2 linked regions of the Sus scrofa genome follow. The protein of the gene in region 1 purifies or fractionates together with the protein of each later gene. This does not show direct contact. Links are inferred from orthologs where the notes say so. Each region holds a gene or a part of one and is shown in the gene's direction. Other genes may lie near its edges.

What was found.
Region 2: the proteins of PNN (region 1) and NCBP3 purify together in Homo sapiens (co-immunoprecipitation; 3 studies listed by BioGRID and IntAct, counting the BioPlex papers as one, with this or other methods). This does not show direct contact. The link is inferred for Sus scrofa from reciprocal best matches to the Homo sapiens genes PNN and NCBP3.

Annotation. Positions count from the first base shown.
Region 1 is NC_010443.5:169,728,413-169,731,660, forward strand, and holds part of PNN (pinin), read left to right. Parts: intron 1-91; coding exon 92-186; intron 187-351; coding exon 352-427; intron 428-2,144; coding exon 2,145-2,300; intron 2,301-2,376; coding exon 2,377-2,515; intron 2,516-3,095; coding exon 3,096-3,248. UniProt on the Homo sapiens protein: Transcriptional activator binding to the E-box 1 core sequence of the E-cadherin promoter gene; the core-binding sequence is 5'CAGGTG-3'. Capable of reversing CTBP1-mediated transcription repression.
Region 2 is NC_010454.4:49,911,995-49,915,815, reverse strand, and holds part of NCBP3 (nuclear cap-binding protein subunit 3), read left to right. Parts: intron 1-2,912; coding exon 2,913-3,018; intron 3,019-3,821. UniProt on the Homo sapiens protein: Associates with NCBP1/CBP80 to form an alternative cap-binding complex (CBC) which plays a key role in mRNA export. NCBP3 serves as adapter protein linking the capped RNAs (m7GpppG-capped RNA) to NCBP1/CBP80.

The DNA of each region.
Region 1 (3,248 bases):
AGAGGATGAATATAGCCTTTTCACCTTACTACATTTAAAAGAGTGCCACCCATATGCTAGTGAAATGACAGAAATTTCTTTTCTCCTACAGCCAGCTTTGCAGTCTTCAGTTGTAGCTACCTCCAAAGAGCGCACTCGTAGAGACCTTATCCAGGATCAAAATATGGATGAAAAGGGAAAGCAAAGGTATCATTAGTATCCTTCTGGAGGAAAACAACTCTTGTTAAATAATGTAATTTAAAGAAAATTTAAGGAATTGTTCCTATGTCTATTGTATGTTTCTTCTAGCAAATGGCAGTCTTAAATGAAGTGGAACCTTTTGAAATTGGATTTTCTTTTTCTTTTCTTTAGGAACCGACGAATATTTGGCTTGTTGATGGGCACGCTTCAGAAATTTAAACAAGAATCCACTGTTGCTACTGAAAGGGTATATGTGCACTTTTTCCTTTGCTTCCTCTAAGTTTTCAAAGTAGCTGATTGCATATTTTTAAAAAGAGCTGAAAAGTTCTCTTAAGATTTAATTGCGGGAGTTCCACTTCCTGTTGTAGCTTAACGGAAAGGAACCCAACTCATATGAATGAGGATGTGGGTTCAGTCCCTGGCTTTGCTCAGTGGGTTAGGGATCTGGCGTTACCTCAAACTGTGGGTCACAGACTCTGCTCAGATCCCACATTTCTCTGGGGTAGGCCAGCTCCAATTTGACCCTTAGCCTGGGAACTTCCATATATGCTGCACCTGCCCCCCCCCCAAAAAGATTTAATTGAAGGCTTCAAAAAGTGGGTAACTGATAACTTCCTTTTTCGGGAAAAAAGTTTAATTGCAAGCCTACATGAAGCCAAGGAAAACCTGTAGAAACTTTCTACAATTATTAATTGGTCTTTTTTGAAGTGCCGTTAAATAACTTAGTGAACTTCTTATCGTTTAGAGGACTTGGTCTGACTCGGGAGAACTTGGATTCTGTTCTCAGCTCTATATCAATCTCATTCCATTGTCTTGGACAAGTCTTCATTTCTTTAGGCCTTAGAGTGCATTCTTTCAAACCGGAAGTTGAACTTGTTAATCATCAGTAATTAATTCAGTAATTCTAATTTTTAAGACTTAATGCACTTAGAGGGACTTTAGAAGCAAAAACATAGATTATATTCCCTGCCCTTCTTAGTTTAACTGTGTCACCTTTTAGGAAGGTTTTATTTTACTGAAGCAACAGAATTGTAATTGTGTCTTTGGAGTTGAACACCACGTTATTGCTTCTTAGGGGAGCACTATAGTAAAAGGGAGATAACAATTCAGTTATAGGAGATTGATAAAATTTTATTTCAGCTTTTATATATTAACTTTATTAGAGAATATAAAAGGCTTAAAGTATCTTAATGTTTGAAGAATAAGTCTGGGTTTTTAAAATGTAGAGTTGACTAGTTTTTTACTTCATTTACTAAGACATCACTTCACAAATTCTTTGATTTGGAAAGAATAACTCAAGATAACCTATAAACAGTACTTGTTTTTTAGGATAACTTTTAGTTAAGGTTTTTCGTAAATTATATTGGAAAGGAACAGCTATTGATATTATCCCTAATGGCTTTAAAAACATTTTTACGTGAAAAGGCTTTAGTCCCCATTTCCTGAAAGAAAAATTGCAGATTACCTCAAATGCCACATTTGAATTAGCTGGTGTTCTAAATTGCAGGTGCAAAATGTATGCATACAACAGTAAAATTTTAATGTTTCATGGGAGTTCCTGTTGTGGCTCAGCAGGTTAAGAACTCGACTAGTATCCATGAGGATGTGGGTTTGGTCTCTGCCCTCACTCAGTGGGTTAAGTATCCGGCGTTGCTGCCATGAGCTGCCATGTAGGTCACAGATCTGGTGTTGTTATGGCTGTGGTGTAGGCCAGAAGCTGCAGCTCTCATTCTACCCCTGGGAACTTCCATATGCCACAAGTGCAGCCCTAAAAAGACAAAAAAAAAAAAAAAAAGTGATAACTAAGAATTCAACTTACAGGCAGGCATTAAAGATACTTCAGCTGTTAAAATACATATTTCCATGCGGTGGATACGGCCCTAAAAAGACTTAAAAAAAGAAATTTAATGTTTCACACAATCAGGATGTGTAATAAGCTTTTAAAGGTTATTGTTTATCTTTAGCAAAAGAGACGTCAGGAAATTGAACAAAAACTTGAAGTGCAGGCAGAAGAAGAAAGAAAACAGGTTGAAAATGAGAGGAGAGAACTGTTTGAAGAGAGACGTGCTAAACAGACAGAACTGCGGCTTTTGGAACAGAAGGTTGAGCTTGCGCAGCTGGTGAGTATATTTTGGAATTCTGAGATTGGTGATCCCTTATTATGACAAAGGCAGTGATCTTTTACCTTTTCTTTAGCAAGAAGAATGGAATGAGCATAATGCCAAGATAATTAAATATATAAGAACTAAGACAAAGCCCCATTTGTTCTATATTCCTGGAAGAATGTGTCCAGCTACCCAAAAACTGATAGAAGAGTCACAGAGAAAAATGAATGGTAAGTGTGCAGTGGAGAGGTGCGTGGAAATTTCTTTAATGGGTAAGGTAACACACTCATAAATACATATGTTTGTTTTCTGTAACAATTGTGATTCAGTAGTTAATTTTTTAGAACGATATTCTAAGATGTTAATGTGTTTGATACGCAGGAGCATTTGTTTTCATGATAGATTTTAACCCAAAATTTATATACTGTAGGTGGTGCTTAATGCACATTTAGTTCTTAAGCATTTGAATGAGATGACTTCTTTTTTTGCTTGATGCTCCTAATGACCAGATATAAATGCTAATGAATCAAGGAAAAAAAGTCAGCATTGATGTAGTCCATAGAGGGAGCACACATAGAAGAGTATACACTGCTAAGACGGTGATTAGATTGATTTGTCTCTCCTTGGAATCAAAAATTAATGCATAATATGATACCATAAACTGACTTGGCATAATTTTTTGTCATCATCTCTTTGCAAAAAAGACATTTCAATTAAGCTCAGTGATAATTTGTGACCAGGTGTCAGTTTATGACTTTGAATTTTCAAACCATTGTTAGTAAACTTTACACATACATTTTTATTCTTTAGCTTTATTTGAAGGTAGACGCATCGAATTTGCAGAACAAATAAATAAAATGGAGGCTAGGCCTAGAAGACAATCAATGAAGGAAAAAGAGCATCAGGTGGTGCGTAATGAAGAACAGAAGTCGGAACAAGAAGAGGGTAAGGTGGCTCAGCGAG
Region 2 (3,821 bases), on another chromosome or scaffold:
GCACTACAGCTCCAATTAGACCCCTAGCCTAGGAACCTCCATATGCCATGGGTGTGGCTCTGGAAAAGACAAAAAAAAAAAAAAAAAAAGAAGACGACGACAAATAAATAAAAGTAAAAACGTGTAAACTGTTTCCACTTTAAATGAAGCAGAACGGGGAGTTCCCGTCGTGGCGCAGTGGAAATGAATCCACTAGGAACCATGAGGTTTCGGGTTCGATCCCTGCCCTTGCTCAGTGGGTTAATGATCCGGTGTTGCCGTGAGCTGTGGTGTAGGTTGCAGACTCAGCTCGGATCCCATGTTGCTGTGGTTCTGGCGTAGGCTGGTGGCTACGGCTCCGATTCGACCCCAGCCTGGGAACCTCCATATGCCGCGGGAGCGCCGAAGAAATAGCAAAAAAGACAAAAAAAAAAACCCCAAAAAACAAAACAAGAAAAAAAAAAAAAAAAGAAGCAGAATGCACATAGTAGGCCCTCAGTAAATATCTTTATCCTCACTGGTTGAGGCCTAGGATTAGGAAAATAGGACTTCCTGGTTATGTGGTTAAACTTTGAAGGCCAAGTTGATTGAATTTTTCTCAGTACCTGGGAATATTGCTTTTATCTAGTGATTGCTAGCACTACGTTACCAGCTTCATTGTAACTCCTCACAGAGCCAAATGTATTATTTTCCTTCTTATAAACAGTTGATACTGAAGTTCCTGTAGTGGCTCAGTGGTTAATGTATCCGACTAGGAATCATGAGGTTGCAGGTTCGATCCCTGGCCTTGCTCAGTGGGTTAAGGATCTGGCGTTGCTGTGAACTGTAGTGTAGGTTGCACACTCTGCCTGGATCCCGAGTTGCTGTGGCTGTGGTGTACTATAGCTCTGATTCGACCCCTAGACTGGAAACCTCCATATGCTGAGGGAAGCGGCCCTAGAAAAGGCAAGAAACAAAAAAACAAAAAAAAAAAAAAACAGTTGATACTTATTTGTTGCTTTAATTTAGTTTAAACATTCTTTCTGATTTTAATGTGCGTAATTAAGTTTGGAACAGAGTTTGAATTACAGTTCTGAATAAATAATATTGCATTACTGTTTTGGATGTATGAAAGCAAGAATAAAAATAAGTATGTCATGCTTACTATTTTATATTTTATCTGGGTCTCAGTCTGCCTCAGATTACTTAAAAGCCAAAGGAACTGATCATCTTTTTTGACAAGAAGACAAAATAAAGAGAAATGTTTTCTTATTGTAATTGAAAAGGATGTATACAGTATGTTCTTAATCCTACACAGTTTACCATTATATGAAACAAATGTATGGGGAAAGGGGTAGTAGCCCAGAATTGCTATTTTAGTCGTTACTAGAGGAAGGTAGTTTAGTTGTTTCCACTGGGAAGACTTGAGTGAAGAAAATTAGTGTCTGGAGTTCCCATTGTGGCTCAGTGGTTAACGAATCCAACTAGGAATCATGAGGTTGTGGGTTCAGTCCCTGGCCTTGCTCAGTGGGTTAGGGATCTGGCGTTACTGTGGCTCTGGCGTAGGCTGGCAGCTGCAGCTCCGATTCGACCCCTAGTCTGGGAACCTCCATGTGCCTCGGGAGCAGCCCTAGAAAAGGCAAAAAGACAAAAAAAAAAAAAAAAGAAAAGAAAAAGAAAATTAGTGTAATTGTTGGGAAATAACAGAAGTGTTGCTGCTTTACCTATCCTCATGGGTTTTGTTTTTTGATTTTTTTGTTTGTTTTTTGTTTTGCTTTTTAGGGTCGCCCGTGGCACATGGAGGTTCCCAGGCTAGGGGTCTAATTGGAGCTACAACTGCCGGCCTACACCACAGCCACAGCAACGCCAGATGCAAGCCTAATCTGCGACCTACACCACAGCTTACAACAATGCCAGATCCTTAACCCACTGATCCGAAGCCAAGGATCAAACCCGCAACCTCATTGTTCCCAGTCAGGTTCATTTCCACTGTGCCACAGTGGAAACTCCCCTCACAAGTTTTTTATAGTCAGACCTTCAATTAGTGTGGCAAAGTCAGTATACAGTTAATGACGCTTCCTAAGAGCTATCAGGAACTCACAGTTGGATCTGGAGTTATTTTAGCTCTTGGGGGAAAAAAACCTTAGGAAACTGTTTATTTTATTTTTCAGTGAAGCAGCAGTGCTTCTTGTCACTTCAAGATGAAAACTGGCAATTCCCTGGACACAAGTTAAGAATAGAGAAGAGAGTTTCATTGCTCCAGTGTTATTTTTCCACAAGGAGGGAGCTTTAGGGAGTGGTCTGCTCAGGCAGACATAATGGGATAGGTGTGATTACCATGCACGCAGACAGCCTGAAATGGGGGTGGTGGGAGGGCTTCTAGAAATAGCACTGAGCAGAAAATTTTCCCCCTTCCTAGCTGAAGTGTCTCTAGCAAACCTTTTGACTTTTTTACGCCTCAGTTTCTGCGCCTGGAAAATGGAATGTTAATTTTGTTGTAATTCGTTTCCATGGTGGCTGGTAGTAAGTGAAATGTCAGAGCACGAAAGCTTCCTTCATTGCTCGTTGGGTCAGCACACACTGTTGAGTTGCGACTGCTCCGCTCCGTGCAGTGATGGCCATAGAGTCATTATGGCGCTCGCTCCCAACGATAGCATCATCAGGGTCCATCCTCCCAGTCACTGATTGTGAAGATCAAATTCTTGGGTTTTTTTGGTTTTTTTTTTTGTCTTTTTGCCTTTTCTAGGGCCGCTCCCAGGCTAGGGGCCTAATCAGAGCCGTAGCCACAGCAACTTGGATCCGAGCTGCGTGTGAATATCCAATTCTCTACGCAATTAAAGACAATGTTGCTTGTTCCTTTGGAGTCTTTTAGGCTTATCACTGGTGCCTCATTTTGTGTATGTGATTTAACTTTCCTCCTCCACGTTTCCCTTCTCTGGCTCTGTACTTTCTAGGAAGCAATTGAAAAGAAAGAACAGCGAGCCAAGCGCTTCCATTTTCGATCAGAAGTAAATCTCTCCCAAAGGAACGTTGCCTTGGACCGAGACATGATGAAGAAAGGTACAGGGTATTTGGGGGGATTTTTTCTACGTAATCCCAGTGAATGACTTTTCCCTGCCATGGCCTCACGCTCTGGCCTTGCCTCGCATGTCCAGTCCTCATCCAGACACTCCCAAAGGAGGGAACTTAGGAATTCTCCATTTCTTAGCTGATCTGTTAAAGTCAAGCTGCATTAGCTGGGTCGCAAATGTTAGAGCTGGAAAAAAGACGTCATGTCTGAGAAGCCCAGAGGACAGCACTGAATTGGTGGCAGAGCTGAGAGTAGAACCTTGCTTTTATGGACCCTTACTCATTTTCTGCTTTTTTCATAGAATTGGTAACTTCTCTTTGCCTTTCTTGGGGGGCTGCACCTGCAGCATATGAAAGTTCCTGGACCAGGGATCTAATCCAAGCCATAGCTGCAGCCTATGCCACAGCTATGGCAACGCTGGATCCTTAAGCCACTGCACCGGTCTTGGGATTGAATTCTCACCACCTCAGAGACAACTCGGATCCTTAACCTGCTGCGCCACAGCAGGAGCTGCTCTTTGTCTTCAGATACAGTGGAAGTGTATCACAATGAGACTGTCTTTGAGGGGGGTCAGGTTGGTGGGGAAATACCATTAGTACTTCTTTTGATACAGACTTGTGATTTTATTTTTGTGTTTTCTTAGGGTATTTTGCTTCCTAGAACTCATTCTGAATTATATATGATAATCTACCCCAGTCTTTGAAGGCAATTTATAAATAGCAGGGAAAGTTAATATTACCCTTTTACTGAGTTACAGCCATGTTTATTACTCCACGAATGCAAACGGTCTCCC